Cricetulus griseus: one gene and its partners. The protein of the gene in region 2 interacts with the protein of the main gene of each other region in a pairwise test. Links are inferred from orthologs where the notes say so. Each region holds a gene or a part of one and is shown on either strand. Other genes may lie near its edges.

Evidence for each region.
Region 1: the proteins of Hoxa1 (region 2) and Ccn3 interact in binary tests that used the Homo sapiens proteins (3 or more experiments, as listed by UniProt). The link is inferred for Cricetulus griseus from reciprocal best matches to the Homo sapiens genes HOXA1 and CCN3.
Region 3: the proteins of Hoxa1 (region 2) and Chrd interact in binary tests that used the Homo sapiens proteins (3 or more experiments, as listed by UniProt). The link is inferred for Cricetulus griseus from reciprocal best matches to the Homo sapiens genes HOXA1 and CHRD.
Region 4: the proteins of Hoxa1 (region 2) and Fbln1 interact in binary tests that used the Homo sapiens proteins (3 or more experiments, as listed by UniProt). The link is inferred for Cricetulus griseus from reciprocal best matches to the Homo sapiens genes HOXA1 and FBLN1.
Region 5: the proteins of Hoxa1 (region 2) and Adamtsl4 interact in binary tests that used the Homo sapiens proteins (3 or more experiments, as listed by UniProt). The two-hybrid records come from large-scale screens. The link is inferred for Cricetulus griseus from reciprocal best matches to the Homo sapiens genes HOXA1 and ADAMTSL4.
Region 6: the proteins of Hoxa1 (region 2) and Nell2 interact in binary tests that used the Homo sapiens proteins (3 or more experiments, as listed by UniProt). The link is inferred for Cricetulus griseus from reciprocal best matches to the Homo sapiens genes HOXA1 and NELL2.
Region 7: the proteins of Hoxa1 (region 2) and Trip6 interact in a two-hybrid assay, tested with the Homo sapiens proteins (2 studies listed by BioGRID and IntAct). The two-hybrid records come from large-scale screens. The link is inferred for Cricetulus griseus from reciprocal best matches to the Homo sapiens genes HOXA1 and TRIP6.

The regions. Positions count from the first base shown.
Region 1 is NC_048603.1:644,007-648,077, forward strand, and holds the start of Ccn3 (CCN family member 3), read right to left. Parts: upstream 2,801-4,071; 5' UTR 2,798-2,800; coding exon 2,723-2,797; intron 2,602-2,722; coding exon 2,376-2,601; intron 1,257-2,375; coding exon 1,005-1,256; intron 1-1,004. UniProt on the Homo sapiens protein: Immediate-early protein playing a role in various cellular processes including proliferation, adhesion, migration, differentiation and survival. Acts by binding to integrins or membrane receptors such as NOTCH1.
Region 2 is NC_048601.1:89,186,543-89,190,785, reverse strand, and holds Hoxa1 (homeobox protein Hox-A1), read right to left. Parts: upstream 2,801-4,243; 5' UTR 2,687-2,800; coding exon 2,038-2,686; intron 1,509-2,037; coding exon 1,153-1,508; 3' UTR 53-1,152; downstream 1-52. UniProt on the Homo sapiens protein: Sequence-specific transcription factor. Regulates multiple developmental processes including brainstem, inner and outer ear, abducens nerve and cardiovascular development and morphogenesis as well as cognition and behavior.
Region 3 is NC_048597.1:67,916,608-67,920,561, reverse strand, and holds the start of Chrd (chordin), read left to right. Parts: upstream 1-1,154; coding exon 1,155-1,302; intron 1,303-1,473; coding exon 1,474-1,643; intron 1,644-2,024; coding exon 2,025-2,154; intron 2,155-2,288; coding exon of another isoform or gene 2,289-2,294; coding exon 2,295-2,423; intron 2,424-2,508; coding exon 2,509-2,608; intron 2,609-2,712; coding exon 2,713-2,800; intron 2,801-3,143; coding exon 3,144-3,285; intron 3,286-3,395; coding exon 3,396-3,536; intron 3,537-3,618; coding exon 3,619-3,701; intron 3,702-3,775; coding exon 3,776-3,923; intron 3,924-3,954. UniProt on the Homo sapiens protein: Dorsalizing factor. Key developmental protein that dorsalizes early vertebrate embryonic tissues by binding to ventralizing TGF-beta family bone morphogenetic proteins (BMPs) and sequestering them in latent complexes.
Region 4 is NC_048595.1:382,056,844-382,060,343, reverse strand, and holds part of Fbln1 (fibulin-1), read right to left. Parts: intron 3,274-3,500; coding exon 3,130-3,273; intron 2,384-3,129; coding exon 2,255-2,383; intron 1,507-2,254; coding exon 1,381-1,506; intron 535-1,380; coding exon 415-534; intron 1-414. UniProt on the Homo sapiens protein: Incorporated into fibronectin-containing matrix fibers. May play a role in cell adhesion and migration along protein fibers within the extracellular matrix (ECM).
Region 5 is NW_023276806.1:60,816,913-60,821,058, reverse strand, and holds the start of Adamtsl4 (ADAMTS-like protein 4), read right to left. Parts: upstream 2,801-4,146; 5' UTR 2,574-2,800; intron 2,498-2,573; exon of another isoform or gene 2,378-2,497; intron 1,663-2,377; 5' UTR 1,529-1,662; intron 198-1,528; 5' UTR 122-197; coding exon 102-121; intron 1-101. UniProt on the Homo sapiens protein: Positive regulation of apoptosis. May facilitate FBN1 microfibril biogenesis.
Region 6 is NC_048595.1:391,942,191-391,946,483, forward strand, and holds the start of Nell2 (protein kinase C-binding protein NELL2), read right to left. Parts: upstream 2,801-4,293; 5' UTR 2,786-2,800; coding exon 2,722-2,785; intron 2,317-2,721; coding exon 2,188-2,316; intron 1-2,187. UniProt on the Homo sapiens protein: Plays multiple roles in neural tissues, regulates neuronal proliferation, survival, differentiation, polarization, as well as axon guidance and synaptic functions.
Region 7 is NC_048597.1:116,225,497-116,229,613, forward strand, and holds the start of Trip6 (thyroid receptor-interacting protein 6), read right to left. Parts: upstream 2,801-4,117; 5' UTR 2,641-2,800; coding exon 2,532-2,640; intron 2,283-2,531; coding exon 2,155-2,282; intron 2,042-2,154; coding exon 1,916-2,041; intron 1,663-1,915; coding exon 1,279-1,662; intron 808-1,278; coding exon 714-807; intron 616-713; coding exon 446-615; intron 1-445. Other genes in the region: Slc12a9 (solute carrier family 12 member 9), read right to left, coding at 3,489-4,117. UniProt on the Homo sapiens protein: Relays signals from the cell surface to the nucleus to weaken adherens junction and promote actin cytoskeleton reorganization and cell invasiveness. Involved in lysophosphatidic acid-induced cell adhesion and migration.

The DNA of each region.
Region 1 (4,071 bases), on a different chromosome or scaffold from region 2:
ATTGGGATAGATACATGTTGTCACTTAGGCAACACTGGAGAGTGAATTCTAAATCTGTAGCCAACATATGCCAGGTCTTGCGGAGCATAGTACTGGGTTTCTCTGTAATCCCCTAACAGTTAGGGCACAATGCAGGACTTCAAGAAATCTTTATTCACGTGACCCTAAGAAGCTTAGGACAGCTTGTCATAGAAATTTAGGAATTATATGAACACAGGACCATATGGCATCATCAGCTGAATGATTTCAGTGTGTGATTTGGTACACCGGAAGGTCATGCTAACAATTTAATTTTTTGTATATATGTATATATTCAGGTGTGTGTGTGTGTGTGTGGGTGGTTGTGTGTGTGTGTCCGTGTGTTTGAAGGTGTACATACATGTATATGTATATGCATGTGTACAGAGGCCATAGGTCTACTTCAAAGGTTGCTCCTTAGGAACTCATTCATAGAAATCTTGGGCTAACTGATTAGGTTAGTCTAGCTGGCCAGTGACCTCAAGGGACCTGCAGATCTCTGCCCCCGCAGGATTAGGGTTACACATAAGGCTTTTTTTTTTTTTTTTTTTTGGATCCGAGAGATCCAAGGATGGTCCTCACATTGGCACTACAAGAGCTTTACCAATGGAGCTATTTCCTCAATGTTACATTTTAATTTTGGTGAGTAAGGAGAGCCAACCAAATCAAAAATCCAGGAAGGGATTTTTACTCAGGGTCAGTCAGGAGAGAGAGTAAAAAAAAATACCCACCCAATAATTAAAAAATGAAACAGAAGTGACTGACTAAATCAGAGCCCTTTACAAGAGAAGCTGTGTGAATATTTCTGTAATCTGGCTCAGACTTAGATAAAGGATGCATGTGATCTTGGGGGAGAGGGGCAATCTGAAATTCACAACGGAATGGCCAGAAGCAAGCCAGCCTTCTTTCTCATCCCAAATCCTAGAACCATGCCTGCTTTGTGACTGCGTTTACTCTGACTCCCCTATGTCTGCTCAGTTCCTCACCTGGAAGGGCCAGGCCTCCCAGGGTCCCCTGCTCATTTGGGCCACAGGTCCACTTCTCGCAGCACTCCCCAGGCACTGCAACTTTCCTGGGAGCTGGGCAGTCGGGACCAGGCAGCAGCACGTCCAGCTGGCAGCGGGGCACGCAGCCAATCTGCCCATCTCTGCAGGCGCAGCGGTACTGACAGTTTGGTTCAAACTTCTCTCCGCTGCGGTAAATGACTCCGTCGAACACACAGTTGTCTCCCTCTAGAACTGGAATATTCAGGAAGGAAGGAAGGCAGAGGGAAGAGGAGAGAGAGAGAAAAACAATCAAAGCACAGATTAACTGGAAAGCTGTGTGAGATTGGAAGGACACGGTCAGAAGTGAGGGGCTTATACATCTCAAGGAGAAACAGGTCCCTGTAGATGCTTCCAGAACAAGGAGAAGGCACCAATCCCACCTGGGCCTTTTTTCTTCACCTAGTTCTTATAAACGAGCAAAGAGATGGACTCTGGACACTGCCAATATACACGTTCTGGCTAACTAATGGCTTCTATCACGTCTCCACTTCTTTCTCAAATCTCCTATCCCGGAATGATTTCATTTCTATGCTAGAGCAAAGGTACAAATGGTGGTGTCACACTCCAGTGACCCTATCTCCAAAGAAAAGAGCATTTCCCCCAAACAGTCTTCAATTCTTCTTCTACAATAGTTTAGGATTTAAAACCAAATAGTTTTACTGAGCAGCTCTGAAAGGGCATTAAGAATTCTTGGGAGGGAAAAAAAGAGAAGAAGGCTTGCTTCAAGCTCTTACCAAGGGAGGTAGGGGCCATTCTGATTACAGCAGTGTATCTCGTGGGAAATTGATCTCCCATTGATTAATTTTCATGAGCCTGCCTTGGCTAGTTGCCTGCATTTGATTTTACTGCAACCCTGACAGGAGTGACATAGTCCTCCCAGGAGACAGAAATTCCTTTGGCTCAAGTAGGACAATCACAGGTGTGAAAACAAGCGTGCCGGGCTGCAGTCAGGGGGAACTGGAGGCCTGTGAGCAAGCCCATACGTCCAACACATCATCCTAAGCGTTCCCCTGAAAGTGGCGAAATGAAATGGTTTCACTGACCCTTAAACTCCGCTTTTGTCCCCTGTCTAGGCGGCAAGTGATGTACCTGCTCTGAGCATGTTTCCTTTCAGTCTGACGCCTGATACCCAGTAAGCTCTCCACATAGTACTGTACTGTACTATTGCTACAAATGTTTTCGCTCAGTTCTCTCCAAGAAAGGGAAGAAGACGGCTAAGGGAGGAAGGGAGGGAACAGTTTCACCTAGCTGCCCCAGGAGAGGTCAGGCCACGGAGGGGAGTGCTGGCGGGGCGGCCAGGGACAGGGTTACCCATGCATATGCCAGTCTGGTTGCTGGGGTCTGCGCTGCGGTCACAGTAGAGGCCGCTGCTCTGGTCGCAGGGCTTGAGCTCGGAGCAGCTCTCTCCGCGCTGGCGAGCGCACACCAGACAGCAGGAGCAGCCGTCCAGCACGGAGCGCACCCCGGGGGCGCAGGTCGGCGGCGTAGTGGGGCACTGGAGCGGGCACGAGGACGGGCAGCGCTGAGTTGCAGACACCTAGGAAGAGAAACGGGACAAGGAAAGGAGCCCTGCTTATCAGGGACAACGTAAGGCAGAATGAGCCAAGGACCGATTAGGGTTAGCCTAGAAGGAGGCATCTTAAGCCTGAGCCACTTACTTGATTGAAGAGATGGAAGAGCAGGAAGCCTAGGCAGAGGCATCGCTTTCGCAGGAAAGTGCTCATGGTCTGCATGCTCTGCACGCTAAGGCTGTCCCGGGACTGGAAACGGGCACTGCCCCTTCACTCAGGTCAGGCTGAGCAGGGAGCGCCACCCGTGCAGGTTTTATAACGCGCTCCAGGAACGCGCACAAGCCGGTTGGCTGCGCGGGGAGGGGGGTGGGGGGGCAGTCATCTGGGTGGAGAAGTGGAAGGAGCTCTGACGTTGCCATGGTGATGGGCCCCAAGGCTGCTCTCCTTAGGGCGTGGCGCCCGGTCTGCGTGTGCCTGTGTGTGGCGACTGGCTTTTCCCAGAGCACCGGGAGGGGCAGGGTGGAGCCCCGAGGCCAAGACCCAGAGCCAGCTACAGCTCGTGGGAAGGAAACGCCCTCTTCCTCTGAGTAGTTGTTTCACCTTCCCCCAGGAGGAAGACACCGCTATTCCCTCCGCCCTCGCTGTTCTGTTCCAGAACCAGGGCTACAAAGGAGGAGCTCTTGACCGGGATGCCTGAAGTTTGGGGCCATATGAGCAGGGCAGGGATTGGCCAAAGGCCCAGGAGTTTAGTCATAAGGGAAGCACATGCAAGTTTGTCACCGTTTATTAGGGCGCTCTTTGAAATGTGTTAAGGGGGTGGGGATGAGGAAAGGACACACACACACACACACACACACACACACACACACACACACACACACACACACACACCACTCCCCGTCAGAGTGGGGGATGCTGTTGGGCAAATGGCCAAATTCTTCCAAGATTTGCAAAGTCTTAAGACCCAAGTTCCCCATGCTCGGTAGACATAAACACAAAACAATGAAATACAAATAAAAAAAAAAAAAGAGGAGGGAGAAACATTTCGTGATATAGGGAAAGTCTGGAAACACCTGCCACATCGCACCGAATGTAAAACCGCTTCAAACAGTCCAAGTTTCTATGCCAGCCTCACTGGGTTGCGCTCAGCGCCCCGATGGATTGAAAAGGCTTTTGCTTGACTTACCTGAATAATAGCTCTCCAACCTGGATTCATTTGCGAAAAGAAAGGAAAGGGAAGAAAGGGTAGTCTGCTGTGTATGCTTGCTGGTTTTACTCCATCAAAGGTGACCCTGTGCGACAGATTTAAAACAGCTTTTCCTCCTGTACTTCAAGGCTGCACCCAAGAAAACTATGTCCAGCCCCGTTGACGGATAGCTACTTTGGAAAGACACTGTGATGCAATTCTAGACGCTACAAAGAAACAAACTGTCCCTATATTACTGACTCTTCAACAGGAGAGAAACAAATGGTAGCGTGTATCTGGGCTGTCTCTA
Region 2 (4,243 bases):
CCTTCCCCTTACTTTGTAGTAAGACACAAACTGTAGCCCAGCCAAATACACAGATGCTTAAGCATACCCAAAACTTGAATATTTTTTATTACAGACGTCTTAAGACCCGTAAACTCTGCTCTGGATCACATCCCTCTGGGATCTCAGAGCTGTTCATGATTGTACAGGAAAGGGGGACTATCGTAGGCTCACAAAAGATAACTGATAGAACTCAGTGTGGTACTTCAGGGACATCAAAACATTGTGCGACATGCAGAAGACTATTCACGAATCACACAAAATATACATTCATTGTGCCATCACATTAACAATTAGCTGAAAATACATTGTATCCAGCCAAGATAACTGTGGAAAGAAAGGGTGACTGAAAAGAGTACCTTTAGGTTACAAATAATCCAGCACACTTTTTAAGTGGAGGGTGGCCAGAGAAGCAAGAAGAAATCGGTAATTTGGGAAGTCTTGGCACAGCAAAGGTTCTGAACTTTGGGCTTCTCAGGCCTTCTTGACTCTGCAAGAGCAAATTGAGGCTACCTTTTGAGGAATCTGGTTCTGTTTGAATGCCAGGGTCCCCCCTTTTTTGTCCACCCATAATCACCAGTTTTGGAAGTTTGCCCACCCTGTTTGATATAGTTCTGCATGTTTCTAGAAAATCTGTATAAAGATAAATCTCTCAAGAGAAAGTTAAGGGGTGAATTAATTGTGTAAACACACTCAGTCAATCTCTTCTTCATGAGCCTTTGGATACTCTCTTTTTTGTGTGTCCTACTTAAGAGCCAGGTAGAGAAGAACAATATACAGATAAAAGGTGAGATGCCTCCCTTCTTCAAATGCCTGCTGGCAAAGGGTACTGTCCTCCAAGGGACATCTGAAAGGAACCATGGGTTGTGTAAAAAAAACTCTCACAACAGTGAGGAAGGAATTTTGGGGGCCACCAGAAATTGATATGGGCACCCGATGTGGATTAAGGATTTAATTTACAACCAAGTCTCCAGAATTCTATGGAACTACATTATGTTGCCCAGGAGCTCTCTGGATTGGACCAGAAAGAAAAAGAGAGACTGTAAAGGAAGAAAGATAAGCTAGAGATGTGCTTTGGGTAAGAAACCCTAGCCCAGGGAGAAGCCTGGACTACGGAGCTGGGCTGGAGTGGCCTCAATGGGAGGTAGGCAGGGTGTCTGAGGTAGATGATGCTGGAGAAGGAACGCAGGGCGAGGAGCTGGATTTCTCAGAAGATTCTTCAGCTTTCTCGTCGCTTCCAGGAGGAGTGGCTGGAGAAATGGGCAGGAGCCCCTCCTTCTCACGCTTCTTCTGCTTCATGCGGCGATTCTGGAACCAGATCTTCACCTGGGTCTCGTTGAGCTGCAGGGACGCGGCTATCTCCACCCTGCGCGCTCGTGTCAGGTACTTGTTGAAGTGGAACTCCTTCTCCAGCTCCGTGAGCTGCTTGGTGGTGAAGTTGGTGCGCACTGCGTTGGGTTGACCCACATAGCCATACTCTCCAACTTTCCCTGGGGTAACGGAGGAAGAGAGGAAAAGGTAAAAATTCTTTAACCCTTATCCGATTGCCCAATGTTCGGGGCAACATTCGGTTAACTGCTCAGCACAAACCCAGCTGGGAAGCTCTAGTGACAAACGATGTGTATGTAAAGTGTTAACCTGAAGTCAACCATTAGCGTGGTCAGGCTTCTGATTAATGGAGCCTGTAGATATTAACAAAACTCCACCACCACCGACACCTCCCACCCACACCACACCACACACACACACACACACACACACACACACACACACACACACACACACACACACGCTTCCTACTTCTAGACCACTGAAGCATCAGCCCCTTTGAAAATGCCAGGTCCAGAAACTGCTTTGCCCCAACACACCTGGGCATCCTACACCACACACTATAACTCCAGAAGACACTAGACAGAAGCAAGAACCCATCTTTTAAAATCATTAACTTTCCTAGGAAACTAAGCGCACCGGCCCCTTTCAAAATCAAGCAACATTTGTTTGCCAGCCGGCAGGACTCACCTGTTTTGGGAGGGTTTCTTTTGACTTTCATCCAGTCAAAGGTCTGCGCTGGAGAAGGCGTCTCTGAAGCAGGGGAGCGACAGGCTTCTTGGTGGCTGGCGTGGAGAGGGGATAAGGAGTTATTATACGTGGCCAGGGCCAGGCTCTGGTGCTCTTGTCCATAAGAGTGGTGGATATACTGAGGCGAGCCCACCGTGCCCCCAGCATAACCCTGGTGGTGGTGGTGGTGGTGATGCTGGACCATGGGAGATGAGAGGTTTCCAGAGTAAACAGCGGGAGCGCACGGGGAGTACCCACCACTTACGTCTGCTTCCTGATTTAATCCATAGGGGCCATAAGGCGCACTGAAGTTCTGCGCGCCATAGCTTGGACCACAACTCGAGTGGGAGTAGGAAACCCCCAGACTCCCAGAAGTCTGGTAAGTAGACGGCTGGGGGTGGTGATGGTGGTGGTGGTGGGGCGAGCTGATCTGCACCCCCCTGCCCACTAGGAAGCGGTCGTCGCCGCCGCAGCTGTTGGCACTGACCGCGCAGGATTGGAAAGTTGTAATCCCATGGTCAGAGGTGTAGGCTCGCGCAGAGCAGGTCCCGGAGTCGCCACTGCCAAGGATGGGATATTCCAGGAAGGAGCTCATTCTTGCATTGTCCATCTGTCACTGAGTGACTGGGTCCTGCGAAGCCCTGGGTGACCGTGCCAACTTTCTCACTTCCTCCATGGGACCAGAGAAGAAAAATGATATGAATGTACAGTGCGCAAGAGGCGGGGCGGGAAGGCGGAGGACTCAAGGGGAAGGACACGTGACTTTGTCAACCAATGGCTGAGCCGCCTGCGAAAGTTTACCGGCTGCGGCGGTGATGGATCACCGTTTCAGTGGCATTTAAATCCCCGGCGCTCCTCAGTCTAGGTGACGCGCGGTCGCCCCCCCAGGCTGCCCGGGCCGCGGCGGCTGCTCCGGCCGCTGCCAGAGCTGACTTGGAGCACTGGGGCCAAGGGGAGTAGAGATTGACTTCTGCGCGCGCCCGACTCTGCTCGCCTCCGCCTCCAGGATGTGGGGGATGGGAGGCGACCCTCCGCGGCCCTTTCCCCACCCAGCCTAGAAAGCTGAACTGACAAGAGGTGAGAGGGGACGAGGCCTCTCGGCTCTCTTGAGGCGGGCCTCGGTAGGCCAGAGCTCTCTGCATGGTCTCAAGGACCCTGGCGGAGCCGGGAGCAAACAGGGTGGGAAGGGTAGGAATCCAGCACACATCATCCCCTCAGCTCGGGATGGCCGCCACCACCCAGTCCCTGCAGAGACTTGAGCCTGGAACCCAGGCGCCTAGGGCAAGGCTGCGTCACTGCCTCACCCGCCTCGGAATGTAGGGGGACGTGCGCAAAGGATTGTCTGGGAGGAATCAGGGTGGGTGTGATGGGGACCAGAGAAAGAAAAGAAGCTACTGTCCTCATCCGGAGGGTCTCAGAGCCCTCTGCCCTGACTCCTACGGGCCAATAGCGTGGCTATGGGAGCTTCTGTAATTCGACCCCAGGGGGGCGGGGGAGCCCTAGGAACCCAGCTCTCTGGGAAAGTCCGGGTGTCTGCTCTCTTCTCTGCCCTCCCTCTTCTCTGGATCTCTTCCCCTTTCTCCTTCCCAGTCAGTCAGCTTTGCTCTTGGTAGTCCCTCAGGATCCGGAGCAACTCTGCTGCTGGAGTTTGAGGGTGGAAGGCAGATGAGAAAGATGACGCTAGCAGACGTGGCCGGCATGAGGGCCGAGCCTGAGCTGCAGGCCTTCTGTCTGCTCTTAGAGACCCAGGAGCTTGCTCGCTCCAGCGTAGGCCTCAGAGGGACGGAGGGACGGGACAGAAGGACGGATCGCACAGTTCTTACAAAGTATGCTGACCTCCCGCGTCACATTTCTCTCTTTCATAAGGGGCTTGCTTGTTAGGAGTGGGAAAACCTCCTCTTGCCACCGCCCCCTATTGCATGTCTGGGGGGTGGGGAGGGACTGGCAGGTGGGAGGGGCAGTGGACAGATGGCTGAGTGGATTGTATACTTTCCAACGGACTGTGTAGTTGCTTGTGTGAACCTTCAGGTCACTCCCCAGAGAGACACGTGCAAATGTGAGCATCATCCCAGGACAGGGGTCCTGTTTTCCATCAACCTCACCCCTACGATGATGCTGATGGTGTTGGTAATTGCTGTTTACTGTTAGGTTTAATGTCAGCCCTAGG
Region 3 (3,954 bases), on a different chromosome or scaffold from region 2:
CCGGTGCTTTCTCCTCAGTGCCTGTCTCCCCACGGTCTCTGTCCTCAGGGATCTCCTGGCCTGACCTTGTGCTCTGCCCTTGTTCTTCCTCAGGGTTTCTCCTGTGCCTGCTCTGAAGATGGGCTGTCCACTAAGGAGTATGGCCCAGATCCCGGAATTCTCTAGTTCAATCAGAAGAGATGCCTCCTAAGATTAGGAAGCCGGGTGCTGGGATGGTTGTGAGAATGGTGGGGGTGGAGGAGATGGGGAGGCAGGACAAAGGAGAGGAAAAAGAGTGGTCCCTTGGATGAAGGAAAGGGTGGGAAAGCCAGGTGATGGTTGGATGGACTTGTGAACAGGTTACAAGGGGGAGGTTATTACTCCACTGGGTGCGGGGAGCATTTCTTGATTCTGGCTTGGTCCCTGTGCCTGGGAACTCCAGAAAGAGAAGAGACCCTAGAAGGGAAAGAGGAATACAGCCTGAGTGAAAGGAGGAGGGTGCCCTGGGTCTTAGACAGGGAAGATCGTTGTCCTTTTCAAAGACAAGTCCTCATCCTCCAGGGCCCATCCTGCCCATGAGTGGTACAGGCCGGAGGCCCAGCCTCTGCCCTTTCACTTAGCTTGAGGCTCCTGTCTCTCTGGATGGATACCACAGGGGTGGCCGCAAGGAGTGTGTGTGGGGGTGTCGAAGCCCGCCTCTCCTCCCCCCCTTTGCGCCCCCTGGTTCCTCCCTTCCCCCTGCCCACTCCGCTCCCCCCTCCTCCAGTCCCTCCCTCCTCCCCTGCCGGGTCCCAGCCTGTCCCCCTCCCCCACTCGCGATCCGGCCGCTGCTGCTGGGCCGGACCCCCCGGGCTCAGCCGGGCTCCTTGCGGAGCCGCCGCCGCGCCCCGTTTGCTGAGGAGGAGGCCCCGGGCCGGGACTCCTGGCGCGGGCATAAAACGGGCCGGAGCCAGCGCCTAGGGCACTACAGCGGCGTACGGCCCGGGTCAGCGCCCAGCCGCCCGAGCTCTCCCGCCCCGCCCGGCCGGGAGCGGACTCCGCGACTGCGAGACGAGCCCCTCGCCACTGCCCCCCTCCTGGCCCCGGCCCCCTCCCGCCGGCCCGCCTCCGGTCCGGCCCTACTCCCTCTCCTGCTCCCTCCTCCCGCCCGCCTCCCCAGCTGTCCGCTCCGCGTCATGCCGAGCCTCCCGGCCCCGCCGGCCCCGCGGCTGCTCCTCGGGCTGCTGCTCCTCGGCTCGCGGCCGGCCGGTGGCACTGGCCCCGAGTCCCCCGCGCTGCCCATCCGTCCTGAGAAGGAGCCGCTGCCTGTTCGGGGAGCGGCAGGTAGGTGGGCTCCAGGGGGGAGGCGCGGGCGGGGAGTCTGGCTCGGGGCAAGTCTGCACCCACCGGGACAGGGCCCCGGGCGCAGGTGGCTCGGCGCAGCGGGAGGGCGGGAGGGGTAAGCAGAGGCGGCGGGGCGCAACGGTGCCAAGGGACCCAGGGCCTGGCGGGCAGAGCTCGGAGCAGGCATTACGGCACGAGCAACCGGACAGCGGCCGCCAGCCAAGCCCGTCCCCACAGGCTGCTCCTTCGGCGGGAAGGTCTATGCCTTGGACGAGACGTGGCACCCGGACCTGGGGGAGCCTTTTGGGGTGATGCGCTGCGTGCTGTGCGCCTGTGAAGCGGTGAGTGGATACCGCAGCTGCCCGCCCTACCCTAGAGGGTAGCGGAACGCTGGCGTCCTAAGCCGTAGTAGCCTCGGAGATGCTCAGGGGAAGGCTGGTCCTCAAATCTGGGGAAACCCCTTTCAAGTCTGCGGTGTTGACAGTTATTGATCGCCCACTATGTGACTGGCTTTTAGCCAACTTCCCCCATCCCATTGCAACCTTGCTAGATAAATGGCATTAATTAGCCTTACTTTGCAGACTTAGAGAAGTTAAGAAACTTGTCCAGGGTCATGTAACTTGTAAATAGCGGAGCTGACTGATTCCAGCAGAGGACCTTACCCTGGCGTCTGATGGTTGCACGTTACACTCACTTAATTTCCCTGTGTTCTCTGCCATCAGCCTCAGTGGGCTCGCCGTGGGAGGGGCCCTGGCAGGGTCAGCTGCAAGAACATCAAACCCCAGTGCCCCACCCTGGCCTGCAGGCAGCCGCGCCAGCTGCCAGGACACTGCTGCCAGACCTGCCCGCAGGGTGAGGCCCACTGTCTCCCGTGTTAGGGAGGGTGGAAGGCTCAACACTAGGTTCTGTGCGGCTTGGATCGCTGAGGAGGACTGGCCCTCCTGGTACCCTGCTGAATCTAGTGGTCTTATTCCTTACCCCCCCCAACGCAGAGCGCAGCAATTTGGACCGACAGCCAGCTGGCCTAGTCTTCGAGTATCCAAGGGACCCAGAGCACCGCAGTTACAGCGATCGAGGGGATCCCGGCGCTGGCGAGCGGACACGTGCTGATGGCCACACGGGTAGGCTGGGGTGGAAGTGGGCCTGACGAAGTTTGGGGCCAGCGGCAAGGGTTGACAGTGCTTAGGCCATCCTCTCTTCTCACAGATTTTGTGGCGCTGCTGACAGGACCGAGGTCGCAGGCGGTAGCTCGCGCTCGAGTCTCTCTCCTGCGCTCAAGTCTTCGCTTCTCTATCTCCTACCAGCGGTGAGACCAGGGAAAGAGCAGCGCGGCTAGGAGTAGTGAATGGGGGCATGAAAGGGGGAAGACTGCGGGTTCTGGATCCAGTCTCACTGGACCTTTCTTCACAGGCTGGACCGCCCCAGCCGGGTTCGGTTCACAGATCCCACCGGCAACATCCTGTTTGAACACCCTGCTGCCCCCACCCAGGATGGCCTGGTGAGATGATGCCACTTACGTGTACTTATCCAAAATGGGCACTTGCTGAGAGCATGGTTGGCATTGCCTCCTTTGGTTCTCACAACAGCCCAGTGGGAGAAAGGCCCTGACATTATGATGCCCATTTTACAGAGGAGGGAACTGAGGCTCAGAATAGCAGAATGTGATTTGTTCAAGGTCATTTGGCTAGCAAGTGGTAAGCCAGGACTTGAACTCAAGGATCCTGGGTCCTTTTTAGGAGGGTCTGGGGTCTCCCTTCCATACTCCTCCCTCACCAGGACTGGGCCTCTTAGCTGGCTTGTCCTGCATAGTGACTGTAGACTTCCTTGTCTCTTTGCTGTAGGTTTGTGGGGTGTGGCGTGCAATGCCTCGGCTATCTCAGAGGCTCCTGAGGGCAGAACAGCTGCATGTAGCCCTGGTGACACCCACTCACCCTTCAGGAGAAGTCTGGGGGCCTCTCATTTGGCAAGGTGCTCTGGCTGCAGGTAGGAAGAGTGAAGAGTTCCCAGATAGAAAAGACTGAGCCTTCTCTATCCAGGGGTGGGTGGACTCACGAGAGGCTCCTCTGATGGCTGTCATGCCCTCCATTCCCCAGAGACCTTCAGTGCCACCCTTACTCTGGAAGGCCCACAGCATCGGGGTGTAGGGGGCATAGCCCTGCTCACCCTCAGTGACACAGAAGACTCCTTACATTTTTTGTTGCTCTTCCGGGGTCTGCTGGGACCCAGGAATGAAGGTAAGCAGGTGAGAAGGCGTCCGGTGAGAGTATAGGGAGGGAGCTCAACTTTCAGAAATGCTCACATGTGCAGCCCTTGCAGGTCCCGCTCAGGTTCCCCTGAGGCTTCAGATTCTCCACCAGGGACAGCCACTCCGAGAGCTCCAGGCCAACACCTCAGCTGAGGTAAGGGGAGGCCTGGGTCTTGCTGCTGCTTGCTCTGGCCTCTTGTTGTCCACCACATTCCGCTCTGTTCCCAGGAGCCAGGTTTTGCTGAGGTGCTGCCCAGCCTGACAGACCAAGAGATGGACTGGCTGGTGCTGGGGGAGCTGCAGATGGTCCTAGAGAGGGCAGGTGGGCCAGAGCTACGCATCAGCGGATACATTACCGCCAGGCGGAGCTGTGACGGTGAGGCAGGGTGGGGCTCGGCGCTGTGGGC
Region 4 (3,500 bases), on a different chromosome or scaffold from region 2:
GGAGAGAGTTTTGCATTTGACAGAGAAGAAGTTGATGGCCAGGCCTGGTGAGGGTGGCTCTGTCTCAGGGGTTCTGTGGCCCTCAGGTCACTCCTCACCTCTCAGCCACTTACTGCTGCCAAGCCCTGTGCCCTGTGGCTCAGAGTGCCAGCACACCAAGGGGTTACCATGGCATGCATATTAAGAGAAATCCATGAACTGGTTTATTCTCTTCCTAACCTCACTCTCAAGCCCAGTAGAGGGTCTCTGAGACCTATCAGAGGAAAAGCAAGGATCCAGCCCCACCTCCAAGGGAGCAAACAGGTGGAGAAATCCTGTCAGGCTCTCTGCCGTGAATTCTGAAATGCAGCCAGAACCTGCTGTGCGTTGGGTGGCAAGGCCAGGGTGCTCCCCACAGTACCCAGGGTGCCTCACCTTCACAGGTGACCCCGTCCACATCACTGAGCTGGTAGCCTCGTCGGCAGTAACACTGGTAGGAGCCGTAGACATTCGCACACTCCTGGCTGCATGGGCTGTTGAGGCACTCATTCACATCTAGAAGAAAAGAGGTTCCTAGGGGTTAGAGCTCAGAGCCACATCTCAAGTCCCTGCCTCCCCTACAGACTGAGGATACAGAGAGCAGTGAGCAGAATATTTCCTCATCACCTCCCTGATGTTAAATAGGGAGGAGAAGTCTGAAGTTACAAGACTGAGATGCCCAAGGAGTGAGGGGCCTCCACTCCAGCTTGCTGTAGCTGAGAAATCTGGAATTTCTCCACCCCTGCTACTGCCTGTGTGAGGCTACATGATCTCCTGGCAGGATAGTAGTGACAGCCTCCATGAGCCTGTCCCCACAGGGCATGGGCTCAGCATGACAGCAGCATATCCAGAGTCCTAGCATGACCACAGCCCCTTCTAGCTCTCAGTGGAAATCTTTCCTACCCTCCCCACTTCATCTCCTAGGTTGTGACACAGGTGACACAGCCTTGGTACTTCTAAATCTCTCAACTTTGGGGCTAGTTGCAACCCAGTTATTGGTCACCAATTCCCTTCACTTAGAGCAAGCTCCAGGCCAGGTTCGGTCCACCACTTGTTTTTGTAAATAAAGTTTTATTGGCACATAGCTATGAACACCTTTGACACATCCAGGAATAATAATCATAGATGATAACACAAGACACTGTTGTCTGTGCACAGCAAGACTCATGAACCCAAACAACCGACCAAGCCCTGCCAGGAAGACTTGCCAAGTTCCAGCATGGCGGCTACTGGCTTAGAGTCATGTCTCTGGAGTGGAGACTTTAGTATCCTTGAAATATCTGCCTAGTAAACTCCAAATGAGTCTTCGAGCAGAGGAGGGATGTGGCTAAGGCTGCTGGCCACCCCGTGACCCACTCTCACCTTCACAGGACCGGCCATCCACAGACAGCCGGAAGCCTGCAGAGCAGCTGCAGTGGTAGGAGCCTGGTGTGTTCTCGCACTTGTGGCCACACAGGCGCCCGGGATAACGCTGGCACTCATTGATGTCTGAAACAGAGGGGCAGTCAGCTCAAGGCATGCCCACTGGAGCAGGGCCATGTCCCACCCTTCTGCCCAATGGCAGCAATTCATGGACTTCTGCCCTTAAGTCCTTTCATGTCTCAGAAGGAAGGGCTGAGGCCTCTCTTGACTGTATCTGTGTGAAGCCCTGTGCTCTGACAAACGTGGCACATCTGGACAGATGCCCTTCTGCCAGCCTGCTCCCCACAGGAGAGTCTGCTGGGTTTTGCTGAGGGGCCGGGGGGATGGTTAGGGTAGCTGTCAGCCTCCATCAAGGATCCTGGTTTGGTAACAGCAAGTACTATCTGGATAGGGTTTGACTCCACTCCTGGTCACCTTTTGATCTGACTGCCTTAGAGAGTTGTGCATCCAAAGCCCTGGAGCTCTATAGGTCTGTAGCAAATCTAGAAAAATCACTGTTATCTTGCCAGATGCAGACTTGGGCTGGAGTCTTAGAAATGCTTGGAGGCTGAGGGTCAAACAGAACACCTGTCCCATGAGGAAGCAGGGAGACACCACTAGTGCCCTGATGGTGGCCCAAGTCCAGGGTGGTGGCAGAGCTGCAGCTAGACAGTGTCTCCTGACTGAGGGTCTTCACTCTGGGGCTGCCTACACTTGGGACCTCCTGAGATGAGGATGGGATGGACACGGTCATGGTCACTCTAGGTGCCACAGACTGTCCCCCGTGTGGAGTCACCTGGCCAGGGTCCCGAGGGCCCGAAGGACATTCACATACCCACGCAGGTCCTGCTGATGCCATCAAAATAGTATCCAGCCTTGCACTCGCAGCGGAAGCTGCCAGGGGAGTTCAAGCAGTTGTGTCCCTTCCCACAGGGTTCCGCTGGTGGTGAGCACTCATCCACATCTTGTGAAGGAGAAAGGAAGACACACAGAGCTTTTTAGAGTGCAACACTAAACAGTACACTGACAGCAGCCATCTACTCTTCATAGAACTTCTACAATGTGCCAATCTGGAACAGCAGCTGATCCGCCGCCAAGAAGCCAGCTCTGATCTCTAGAGACAGGAAGTAGCCAGGGCTGTCAGGGAGGGGCTAAAATGGCCTAAGGACTGTGGGGAGGAAAGCCCCTTTCCTGGCAGAGATCTAGGCCAGCTGATTTCCCTAGCCCAAGTCAACACAGGAACAGGAACATAGTGGGAATGAACAAGACACCACCTAGTGGTCTTGTGTTCTCTGGGGAATAGCAAGATTTATGTCACCTAGATTTGCTGTGACCACTTTAGGAGAACTGAATTGTGAGTGTCCATTCTTAGTCGCCAACAGGCTGTGATCAGGTAGCCTGAGAACACTGGGCAGACTGAAGGTAAGGCTAGAAGTACTGGTGTGCTACTGTAATATAGTCTGGGCAAGACAGCAAAGACCTGTGCCCGGGGAAGGACAATGGGACGGATGGACAGGCAGAATGTCTTCACTTTGGGGACCAACTCTCTCTTCTAGAGAAGGGAAGGACTGTGCTGGAAACAGAGAGAAAAGCCAAAATTCAGAAATTCAGAAGTGTGTGTGTGTGTGTGTGTGTGTGTGTGTGTGTGTGTGTGTGTGTGTGTGAAAGAGAGAGAGAGAGAGAGAGAGAGAGAGAGAGAGAGATACCAACCGACACAGCGAGTTCCCTCTTCATTGAGATGATAGCCACGGCCACAGTTGGGCACATTCTTCTGACATGTGTACGAGCCCTCTGTATTGATGCATGTCTGCCCCACAGGGCATGGGGCACTTATACTTAAACATTCATTAATATCTACAAAGAGAAGAGACAAGATGCAGCACGGTTAAACAGCGGCTATCCATGAATACAGCTGCTGAACCTCCAGAAGAGCCTTCCCCTTCTCTCAGCAAAGAAACAAACCAATAGGCCCTGATCACTTTGCCCTACACAAGGGTAAAGGTCAAAGGACAAGGCAGCCTCAGGTCCCTCTCTTTCCTCTCCCCCTGCTTCCAACCATAATTTCTCCATCTTCTGTGGCA
Region 5 (4,146 bases), on a different chromosome or scaffold from region 2:
GAGATCTACTTGCCTCTACCTCCCAAGTTTAAAGTGTGTGCCACAACTGCCGGGCCCCTTCCCTGCTCTTACTATTAGAGACTGACAGCCCTTGCTCTTACCTGCCCAGCCAGGTCTCCATTGCTCTCCCTTGACTGCCCCTGGGCTGGGAGGCAGGGGCAGGTTAGCTACTCTGGCATCTGGGCACGGAGGATACTCTGAGGAAGAAGCACAGTGGTTACCCCTGCAGATTGCCGGAAGACTAAAGGGCTGTCCCAGCACAGCACCAGCAGAGTGGAGGGAAAACTGGTCCACCCCTCTAGGACCTAAGGGTGGGAGCAATAAGGAACACTGTCTTTGTCATCTGCTGAGTCAAGGGTGGGGGTCTGACCTCAGCCTTCCAGTTCAGTTTAGTTCCCTCCCTGTGGCCCAAGATGGACTTAGCTCCTCTGGAGGCCCGAGGAAGGGCAGGGTGGAGGAAGGGGGAACCAGGAGGTTCTTCCTCCCAGAGCTCCAGGACCTAGAGGAGGCAGGCTATGCCAGGTACCCCTATGAGGTACCAGAGGGCCCTTGACACCAAGTGTGGGGGCAAAAGCCTTAATCCCACCATTTGAGTCGGGGAGCAGAAGATCCAGCCTGGGTGATGCAAGACCCTTATCTCAAAAAAAAAAAAAACAAAAAAACAAAAACAACAACAACAACAAAAAAAACTCTTTCCCCCTTAAAAAAAAAAAAAGTAAAAATAAAAATAAAAAACCCGAGTATTTGTTTCCTACCTGCCTCCCAGACCTTTCTCCCTCTCTTAGATAAAGCTCCTTATGAAGGAACAGCCAGGCACATCTGGGTGACCACAGGCACTTTTTTGTCCAAGGGATAAACTAAGTGGGCTAATGGCTTCATCTTTAGAGAAGAGGCGGTGACTTAACCTCCCTGTGGGTGCCAGCATCCACGAGGCCTTGGCTCGTGGCAACCTAGTTCATGTACAGCTAGTTTTCTTCTTCTTCTTTTTTTTTCTTCCGATGTTCAGCCAAAATGGCTGGGCACTTAGGAAGGAGAGAGATGCAGCCATAGCTGCTCATCCTTCCCAGTCACCAGCTTCGCCTTCTGGTATACCCGGGAAGTCCACCCTGAAGTCTAGCCTTGAATGCTGTAGAGAGGGGCTTCCATAGCCTGTCTCTCCCAAGGCCCTGTCCTCCAGCCCCCTCCTTCTCTTTGAGGCCCTTCCCACCCACACCCCTCATCCCATCTCAACTCTGCTTTCCAGGAAAAACACTGTTTCTGTTGGATCTAAATGGCACCACCAGAGGAATCCAAGCATTGCTGGCCAACACAGGGCCAGCTCAGGGCAGGCAAAGAACAGAGGGAAAGCAAAAGCTAGCCAAACCCCCACTCCCGGGACCCCAGAACTTGGGAATTTGAAGACAGGAACAAAGTGGCTGAGCCCTCTCCTTCCCCTTGCTGGGCCAGCCACTGAGGTCCACAACAGCCCTGGTGGAAAAGGAGCCATGTTCAACCCCTCGAAGTTGGAAGAAGGAGTGATGGGCACCACCTGTCTCTCTCTTGTCCGATGCTGGTCCCCTCTCCACCTCCTGCTTCTCTCTGCTCCCCCAGGTCTGTCCCTGCTGCCTCTCCGTGGTCTACCCAGTACACATAATCCTGTCCTGAGCTGGCTTTGGCAGCTCCCTGGAGAAGTGAGGGGTGGGGGGTGATGAGAGCTCCTGGGGCCAGGGCCAGGCCTGGCTCCCTCTCTGGAAAAGTCCACCCCACCCTCCCCTGCATAGGGAAGCAGGAGACTCCCCCTCCCGGCACAAATGCATGCTTGTTGTGCCAAGGGTGAGGAAGACAGAAGTTGGAGGTGGCCACCCTGAAGTCAAGGTGGACTCTGGTAAGGACCAGCCTAGGCTGCTCCTGCTCACACCCCACACTGGGCCGTTGACAGCAAGGAAAGTGACCTGTATGGAGCTAACCCCTTCACCCTTGGGCTCGCCTCGGGCAAATGAGCTAGGAAGAAAGGAGCGCTAGTAAGGGCTGGACTGGCAAAGGGGAGTTGCTGTCCTGTTAGAATTCCATCCCAACAGGTGTCTGTCTTTCCCCCCAACCTCTCCCAAAAGGCTGTGCTGTGCGAAGAGCCCCACCCGCATCCCTCCCGGACACCCTATCCCTGCGTTCTCGGAGTCAGGCGTAGGGGTGCATCCTCCCGAAGCCCCTCGGGGAGGAGCGGGTGGCGCCGGCTGCAGGGAGGTCCCGTATGTTTTCCAACTTCACTATGTGACTTAATAGGAATCTTGGCTCAAGCCCTCGCCCGGGTAATGGGACCAGACCCCCTCCCCAGGAATTCGGCCCAGGGTCCGCTGTTCCGTGACCATCAGAGCCCAGGCGGGGGTCGGGGAGGCTCTACCTTCTCTGCGCCCGCTCTCTCCAGCTGCCCTCCTCGGCCGCCACCAGGGCCGGGAGCCCGGGGACAGCGCCGCCCGCCCGCGGCAGGCTCCTCCCCGTGCCGCCCGCGCCCCGCCCGCCACGCGCCGGCCCCCGACGGCTAGAGGCCATGCGGGCATCGTTCCCGCCCCCACCCCAGGGTTTGGGACCCCACCGACCCTGTCAGAGCAGCCTTCGGGTGGAGCTTGTACACGAAGAGCACGGGCAAGGGGGATTTACAAACTGGACCCATGTGGCCCTCCTCAAGCTGAGATCCACCGAAGCCGAGGCCCTCTCCTCCACGCAGCCCGTGCCATCTCCTCCTCTTTTCCCATGCTGGGCAGTGAACCGTGTGGCTCTGATGGCCGAGGATGTCTGTGAGCCTCGGTTTCTTCATCCATAAAATTTTACACCCCGGAGCTTAGCGGAAGGAATGCACGTTGAATTATGAGTCAGACAAATTTGGATTTGAATTTCAGCTCGAGAGCTTGCCAGCTCTGTGGTCTTTCACTAGCACTTCAACATCAGTGCGGCAGCAGTGTCGTCTGTAGAATGGGAGACTTTGATGTGTATATTAGGCTTGGAAATGTTTGTCCATCTTCATGTGGAATAATGACTCAGAAGGAGTGCCCGAGTGAAGAAGAAGGGATGAGAAAGAGTTTTACCTTTTTATGCTTTTTATTCTATTTATATTCTGCTTGTACGTCTTTTCGTAGGTAGATGTTTGTTTATTTGTTTGTTTATTTATTTTGCTGTTGTTGTTCGTTTTGGTTTTTCTGAGACAGAGTTTCTCTTTGTAACAGGTCTGGCTGTCTTGGAACTCACTCTGTATACCAGGGTGTCCTCGAACTCACTAGATTCTCCTGCCTCTGCCTGTGCTGGGATCAAAGGTGTGTGCCACCACCACCTGGCTTGGTTGTTTATTTTTGAGGCAGGGTCCTACTATTAAGTCCTGAGCCACCTGGACCTCACTATGTAGAGATCCACCTGCTTCTGCTCCTGGAAGTGTTGGAATTAAAGTCGTACACCACCATATCAGTCCAACCTTGTAAATTTTTTTTGAAAACATACTGGGCATGGTAGTGCATGCTTCTAATCTCAGTTCTTGGTGGACTGAGGCAGGAGGACCACTGCAAGTTCAAGACCAGCCTAGGAAACGCAGCAAGTTCTAGGGTAGACTGGCCTACAGAGTAAGTTCCAAGACAGCCAAGGCTATTACACAGGGGAAACCCTGTCTTGAAAAATCTAAAAAAATAAAGCAAAAACACCCAATCAAGGTTAAAGAGATGACTCAGCCATTAAAGGCCAGGTTCACAACCTAAATGTCAAAACACACAAATATAGAAGTTTTAGCAACATTGTCTTGTGACCCCACAAAACAACAGAGGCCCTTGGTGCCCCGCCTAACACTTCTTGTATAGCTCTTGCTGAGGGCATAGAAGTTAGTCTCCATCCCGAAAGTGCTCAGTCTAATAGCACAGACCCTGCCAGTGAACATTGACCACTTTGGAGTTAATATGGGGCTCTGTGGACGCAGGAGCTATCTCAAAGATGATGGGTGTGTCTATAAAACAGTCCTGGGGCTGGGGATGTAACTTAGTGAGCTTTACACGCAGGAAGCCCAGTTTCCATTCCCAGCCCTGAAAAAGGCAGAATGCTACTGTTTGTTTTTGAGACAGGCCCTGTGATAACAATAGGACAGGTTGATGGGAACTCACTGTGTAGCCCAAGCTGACCCCAAACTTGAACTCT
Region 6 (4,293 bases), on a different chromosome or scaffold from region 2:
AACACCATGACGCAGGGCTGGTTTCTTAACAAACCTGCTGCTCCCCTAGCAACTGAGGAAAGACATTTCCAGAACCATACAGAACCACCCCTCAGTCACAGGTCTAGTTGTTGTGGGTTTCAGAATTAAAATCTTACGGTAAGGTAAGTTACTAAAGCTCAATAAGTAGCATATCATTACATATCATATACCTTACACAGCAAGCAGTAAATAGAGACTAATACACAAAGTGATGTTTGTATTGTGGCAGCAAATGTAATTTTACATCTTTGAATGAAAACTATATTTGTGAAGCATTTATTCTTTCTAGCACTGATCTTGCTATTAGATAGGAAACAAAAGAAACCCACCAGTAAACACTGGCATTCCCCCAACTGAGGACAATTCAAAGATACCATTGGACATTAATCTTGTAGGTTTTTTTTAATATGATGTATACCTTGAAGAAGCTGACTACTTATATAAAATATTGTTTTAAACTAACCAGAAAAAAAAACTGATACTCTGAGACTTTTGCCTAGAAACTGTCAAATTGTCTAATTGGCCAATTGTCTCACATAAAATGTGCATTCCTGGAGTTTGTTGCTTGTGACAGACGGACACTCTATATAGGAAGATAGTGACCCTAAGAAGACATAATAGAAGCTTTGAGATTATCGGAACAATTCAATAGGTTTTGATTATTAGAAACTTGGTTTTTTCCTAGTTACTCAACCCATCAGTTCCTGAAATAGCTTAGTCCCCAGAGACTAAAAATCAAGGACAGAAATAATACATAGTATAAGCGAAAAGCCTACACTTAATTGCATTTCAATTCAACTCTGAATTTTTGCTGACAATTGAGCTCTATTTCCATGATCACATATGGTCATTGTTTTCAGTATCCCAGCCCCACCCTCCACAAAGCATCTGAAAGTAAAGAAAATATCATAAACATTTGTCACAATAAAACACTAATTAAGAACTTCAACTGATCCTCTTTTTTTTTAAAAAAAAGAGCTTACATCTTGATTTCTTATAAAAAAAAAAAAACAAATCGTCTTAAATAAATGCAACACATGTCAGTTTCTCCCTTTCCCTACAGAGCTTAGGAGCTGCTGTCCATGGTGACACACGCTGGCTTATGTGCAGCAACAGCGCCACCACAGAACCATCCAACTTGCATCCTATGTCTGTTTCTTGAAGGCAGCTGTGCTGGGTTGGTTGCATTTTGCATAGCCAACGCTTCGGTAATTATAAGTTGCACCACTTCTTTTAAAGCCATTGCTTCCAATAGCAAAAGAAAACCCCATGTGTAGTGGGGGAGGACGTCTTGTTCCTCCGGATACAGGAAACCAAACCCTGTCTCTCTAGCCTTCATCTGTGCTTCACCATCTCCATGAACAGTTGAGCCACCTTTTAGACCCTCAAGCTAACATGTTCCTCAAGCTAAACACGTTCCCACAAGCCAGTCTTCAAAAGCTTCGTTCGATCAATTTGCAGGTTGTTTTTTACTGAAATTGTGTTTTGACTGCACAGTATATTTAAATATGATTTGAAATATGAACATTTAAAAATAGCCAATGTCCACAGACTCCAAAAGAAAAAGTTTTAAAATCCTACCCATACAATTATGGTGATGGGGGGTGGGATGTGCTTCTGGGTGAATATACCATTGAAATGCTTTTAAAATAATCTTAACAGTATCATTCCTTTCCCCTCGCCACTGGTACGGAAGGCGTAATGAGGAGCTTTCCATGGTAGTCTTGCTTCAAGTACAGTGATAAGCAATAAAAAATAGCGTAAAGAAATTGCTCTCGGCGGGTACCACAGCGCCGAAACTTTGGGAGGTCAGTGTCTTAACCAAGATTGAGCTGTCCTGTTTCCTTACCAAATCCATTCCGCCCAAATGAGGCGTTTGTGTTACAATTTATTGTTCCCCAGATGCCCAAATCACCCATCTGCCTCTGGAGTTTCTAGTCTGTAATTAAGGCACTATCCATTAGAACCGCCAAGTGTAGCAAGTGAGGAGGAGGGCGCGGGAAATGAGAAAAGGCACCCCAGTTTAAAAGATCCGGTTCCTAGGCTCACAGGGAACTCTAGCCCCCAGCTGGCACTCTCTATCCCGCCGGGGTGCAGCAGGCAAGTTAGCAAGAACCTCTGGGCCAGCTCCTCCCACCGCACAGGGGGCTTTGCACTGGGCCATACCTTGGAAGAGGAAGGCTTTCGTCCCATTATGCAGTCCCGGGACCTGGCGCACTCCGGCCGTGGACTCCCCAAGTTCTAACTCTGTTAAGACGTCAATCTGTAGGGACGGGTCCACACCAAGTCCCCAAACTGGTGGGAGTGGGGAGGGGTAGGAAAGAAAGAAAGAAAGAAAGAAAGGGGGCCATTAAAACGCAAGCCTCCATGGCTCAAAGAACGCATCTTGGAGACAATATTGGGAAGTGCTGACAACAGGAGATTCCTTCCTTCACCCGGAGAGCCTTACCTGGACGCGCTGCCAAGCTTAAAATAGCAGAGCGCCTGGTCCCATCTCTGTGACCTACTTTAAGCCCCTCTCTGTGCAAAGTTCCCCCTCAGCCACAGACCCTAAGGGCGTGACCTGCCTCGCAATCCCCAGGACAAGCACAGAAGGGACCCAAATACAAACCCGCGCCCTCCAGAGCTCCCCAATCCAGAGGGTCTTGGGGCGGCAACCCTAGGCGGGGAGCATCCCGGCCCAGCTTGGCGGCCACTCACCGGCTCCGAGCCCGAGGATCACGCAGAACGTTCTCAGTAACACCCGGGACTCCATGGCGTGCATCGGCTCAGTCCATGGTCTCCCTCTTTAAAAATAAAGATAAAAAGCAAGAGGTGCTGGGAGTGAAGCGGGAAAGCAGCACCGGCCCCTCCTGTGACTGTCTCGCTACCCCGGCTCAGACGCCTAAGACCGAGCCCGAGCGGGGCGGCCCCCCTGGGTGCGCGCCGAACTTGGAGCCGCCTCTGCACGCATCGCTCCCGCACGCGGCGGGCCGCAGCCAGGTCGGGCTCAGGGGGATCTGCGGAGACCTGCACCGAGCGGCGCCCCGCCGAACCACGCGGCCCGAGCGCGCACGCGGAGGAAGGGAGGCGGCCCCGGGAAAGCCGGGCCGGGCCGCCCCGCACCCGCCCGCGCTCCCGCGCCAGAACCTGTTGGAAAGGCGGAGACAATGGCGAGAGCCTGGAGCCGCGGAGACCGCTCCGGGAGGGCGGGGCGCAAGCCGGGGCGCGGGCGGGGCGGCCTCTCTCTACCCGAGAGCGGAGCCGGGTCCAGCCAGGCTGGCCCTCAGTCGCCCTATGCCACCCTCGCCCGCATGCCCGCAACCACAGCCTTTGGTAGGAACCTAGGATCCCAACGCCAGGTGCCGAGTTGATGGGCGGCGTTTTCTCTCACCCCTTTGAAATCGGGCGCGTGTCTCCAAAGCCGGGCGGAGAGAAAGGACCACCCAGCCGCAGGAGGCGAGGCTGTAAAGAAAGGCAAGGCGACCTGCCGCCTCGGGCAAAAGAGGGAAGCCCGCACTCAGACACTCGCTGCACAGCAGCCCCAGGAACAGGGAATCCCCTCCTGGACAGGGCAAGGAACCCCGCCAAAGCACGCAGGACTCCTAGGTGAAGGTGGACAGAGGAAAGAGACAGGCGGAGACGGGTGGTGAGCGGGGAAGCTTGGCCAGCCCTGCCTGAGAGGCTCTCTGCCCAGGGCGGGGCGCTGGAGAGCCTCCAGGCACACACTACACACAGAACTTAGCCAGGAGCCAGAGGCTGCTGGACAGCTCCGGGATCTCTGGGAGCCCCTGACAAACTCCAAGTCTAGTATCCTGCCTCAAAGGGTAGAGATGGGATTCTACCCACTGAGAGAAGTATGGATACTTGTTAGAATAAATAGATGTTACAGATAAGATGATGAATGGAGGATAGAGGATGGATGATGGTTCCTGGGGGCAGGGGGGGGGATATATAGCGTGAAGGAAGGATGGGTGGATGGATGGATGGATGAATGGACAAAGGGAAGGAAGGAAGGAAGGAAGGAAGGAAGGAAGGAAGGAAGGAAGGAAGGAAGGAAGGAAGGAAGGAAGGAAGGAAGGAAGGAAGGAGAGTGGATGGATAGATGATAGATGGATGATTTATTGGTGGGTAGGTAAGTAGATACCTAGGTAGATAACCATCCATACTTAGGACTAAAGGAGTGGGAAGTGCAGTCATTGGGAGGAAGTGGGACACGGGGTTTCAGACTCCATAGGAACAATGTATATTTGATCATACATACTAAGAAATGAACTATAGCCAAAGCCAGAA
Region 7 (4,117 bases), on a different chromosome or scaffold from region 2:
CCAAAACTACAAACAGGCAATCAAAGAAACAAAACCCAAAATGTTCTTTTGGTTGATGGACCAAATGATCTCTGGAAACATGTGCCCTGGGTTGACTTTAGAGCCTGTCCTGGAACTAGCTCTTGTAGATCAGGCTGGTCTCGAACTCACAGAGATCTGCCTGCCTCTGCCTCCCAAGTGCTGGGTTTAAAGGCATATGCTACCACTGCCTGGACAAACCTGCTTTGTAGCTAAAACTGACCTCAAACTCCTAATTGTCTCTCCTGCAGATAGCCACCACGTGGAGCTCCTTCCTTCTTCTGTTTCTGCTTGAGTTCCCAGCTTCAAGCCCCCTCCATCATCTGCCCCATCTGACTAAGTATCTGGCCCTCTCTTAGATGGGCAGGAACCCGCCTACCCATCTTGATACTTAGTTTAGCCCTCTTTCCCCCAGCCCAACACTCACCACGTAGCAGCTCTCACAATATGCCCTCCTCTCCACAGCATAGAAGTGCTGGCCCCGGAGCTGGGCCCGACAGGTAGAACACACAAAACAACCAACATGGAAGACACGGTCCAGGGCCACAACCCCAGCTCCATCGCCAACCACATCTTCGCCACAGCCACCACACCGACCTGAGGATAGAGAGCAATGAGCATCAGTCTGTACATATCCATGTCACCAGAGCCACCATCTCCTCCCTCTGCCCACCCTACCCACCAGGTCAGCTCACCAAAGTACTCCCCACTGGGCGGGTGGCTCATGTCATGCACCAATTTCTTGGTCAGTCTCTCTAGCTCTTCTTCCGGAGGTTGGCTTAAAGGGACCTACAGTGAGAATCAGGGCTTTGTGGTACTACCTACAGTCTCTGATACCATGAATAATCTGTAAGGTCAGAACCCTGAAACTCATCTGAGAACATCTCCCAGAAGCTAATGGGGGGGAGGTACCTAGCCCATTCCCTTTGGCCATTTTGACCCATGACCTCTAAGTACTCCAAAAACCAGGATTGATTTATTCATTTATTTATTGTTGGAACAGTGTCTCATATAGCCTAGGCTGGCCTGGAACTTGTTATGTAGCCAAAGATGACCTTAATCTACTGATCCACCTGCCTCTACCTCCACCATGCTTGTGGATAGAACCTTGGAACCCCTGCATAGTAAGCAAGCACTCTACCAACTGAACTGCCTCCCCAGCCCTAAACCAGTATCCTAAGTACTCCATGCCACCCAATCAATGCCCACTTACCTAAAATGACCACAAACCCAGTGTCCCCCATCCCCCACCCGGCTCACCTGGGGCCCATGCCCGCCTCCTCTTCCTCCTCCTGCAGGGCCATGTATCCCAGCGGCTTCCTCCTTTACCCCTGGTCCTGGCTCACGGTGGCTCCTATAGCCAGACCCCCAGACTTCACTACGGCCTGGCAAAGGAAAGTGGGGGCCTGGAAGAGGCCCAGAGGCCTGAGAGGCCCTCCGCCTTGGCAGTCCACAGCCTCTCACTGGTTGAGCCACCTTCACTTGTACAGGGAAAGCAGGACCAGCTGGAGTGCTGGCTGTGGCGTAGGAGGCTGGGGTAGGTCCACCATAAGGGGCTGCTGGGAGCATAGGGGTTGGAACAGCACCTCCACTGGGCTTCAGGGAGCCTGCGCGGTAAGCATGGGGTGGAGGGACCTCAAAAGCCTGGGGAGACACGCAATGGAGAAACAGTGAGTAAGGCCCTAACCAACATCCATGCATTCCAGGTGGGAACCACAGAGAAGCAATGATTTCTGACAAGTTCCCACGGGCAAGGCCCGGCAAGGAGGCAGCCCGTGCTTCCTTGAGCCAGCTGTTCATTAGTTGCAAAGTGTGGAAAGGATGGCTTCAGGCTGAAGAGCCACAGAAGGGAACTGGCTAGGGATGGGGACGCAGACACAGGACACAGGACACAGACCTGTCGGTCTGCCCGCCGAGGAGCATGACTGCGACCCCCGTCCAGATCAGCCAACATGCTAGTGAGTGAATCTATCTCAGCATCCAGGCTTCCAGGACGGATGACACCCCTGTCTGGCGGGAGCCCCTGGAGACAGAGCCAAAGCAGGGAGAACAAATATAGACCACAACCCTTGGGCTTCTGTCGCCTTCACCCTGAGACAGAGACCCACACATCCTCCTCTCATCTCCAATTCTCACCTGCAGACGCTGGGGTGCTCCGTGGGAGCCCACCCAAGTAGGCCCCCGATCGTCCGGTACCCCCGGAGGCTGATAACACTGTTCAGGTGGGAGGGGGCAAAAATTGACCCTGGGGTGGGGCTGGAGTGCTGTAAGGGAGAGAACAGAGGTGGGAATGGAGAATGGTACCTCGTGAAGGCTGCCCTGCTCGGGGTGCCTCTCCTTCACGCATCTGGGGCGTCTGGGAAGGGCTAGGAATCAGGGAAGGTTGCACAAGGGCAGGGGCCTCTGGCTTGGGGAGGAGACATCAGAAAGCAGACAGACAGGAGAGAAAAGGTGAAGGAGAGTGGCCAGTAGCTCCCCCGCCACTCCCGGGTGTGCGAGAGACAAACACTTACTTGCTCCGTGGGCCGGTGGCGGCCCCAGGGCGCCTCGGGGAAGCGCTCTTCCCTGGGGGACTCTGGAGGGCTCTGGCTGCTTCGGGGGAAGCCAGGTGGGCCCCGACATGGTCTGGGATGGTTACTCCACTCCAGACAGAGGTCACGGCCCCCACAAGCCCGGAGCCCTCCTGTCCCGTCCCACGCCCGGTTTGGGACTCCCGCAAAGAAACTTTTTCTGGCTTTTTTTTTCCCCCCTTCCTCCCCAATTTTGGGGCTGGCCCCGCCCCCTGACGTCACCACATTCCTAGAGAGGGTCACGTGGTCCCCCTAAACCCTAATCTGCAATCCCTCCCCTCTCTCTCTTTCTGTGGCCCCCTCCTGTTAAGAATGGGCCGCCCGCCTCGGGAGCCAAGCCACAGGGTGAGCTGCAAGGCGCTCAGAGGCTGCGGCCCAGCCCCTTCTACGATCCCTGCCCCAGGACTGCACGTGGCAGCCTCTCGGCCGGGACCTCAAAAGGCTTCTGGTCTCCACCCCCCTACAGATCTCTCCCTTCCCACCCACCTCCCGCTCACCTACCCACCAGCAGTGCTCCGCCAGCCCATAGTGTTTTGGTCTTTTATTAATGGTCAGTAGTTAGAAAAATAAAACAAAACACAAACATCACCACCCAAGGAAGTGGGAGAGGGAGGCGGTGCGTCTGTGGCCAGGATGGGGACACTGAGGTAGCCTAGAGTCGCAGAAGAGACCAGCCCCTCTGGTCAAGGCACCAATGAAGGAAGTGGAGGCAGGCCAAGGGCAGGGCCACAATGTCCTCCCAGGACTATGGGAACAGCCACCCAAAATTAGTGTCTACGTCCCCCCCATCCAAAGGAGACCATGGTCCCCTTAAAACATCATCCGAAGGGCAGAGTCCACTGGGGGATCCATTGTTCAGAATGGGCCTGGGCCCTCTATGCAACCCTGTCTCAACAGGCTTCAGAGATCAGTGCAGGTGACTGGAGTGACTCCATGAACAAGAAGGGTGGGGCCCAGGTCCCGGCTCAGGGTTTCCAGCAGCGCCAGGTATCTGGGGTAGCGGGCAGGATCGGCAGGCGGTCGAGGCAGGTACAGGAAGGTGAGGGCAGTAGCAGGTCCCTCCTCCCCATCCCTTCCTTCAGGCCCCCCAGGGCCTCCTGCCGCGCCTCGCCCCTGCTGGGCACGCACCAGGGCGTTGGCACTGCAAGCCAGAGCCTCGGCCTCTTCATCTCCTCGACCACCATTCACAAAGTCCCCTTCCTCTTCTTCATGCTCCCCAGTCTCGGCCCCTTCACCCCACACCACCTCTTGCACCTCTGCCCGGATCCTGAGTTGACTCAACAGAGCCCGCAGCCTGCCCTCCGCTGCCCCAGGAGCCTCCCTAGGCCCCAGGCACAGGAAGATCCGGAGCCGGGCACTGTGCCACGCAGGCACCATGCTTAAGATGGTAGCCATCTGCAACAGGAAAAGGCCACAGACGTCCACGTAGCCAGGCCCACCCCGGGGCCGCAGCAGGTTCAAGGGCCACACGTCCACGTGATGTAGCTGAGCGCTGCTGCTGGACCCCCGGCTTAGCCGCTCCGGGGGCA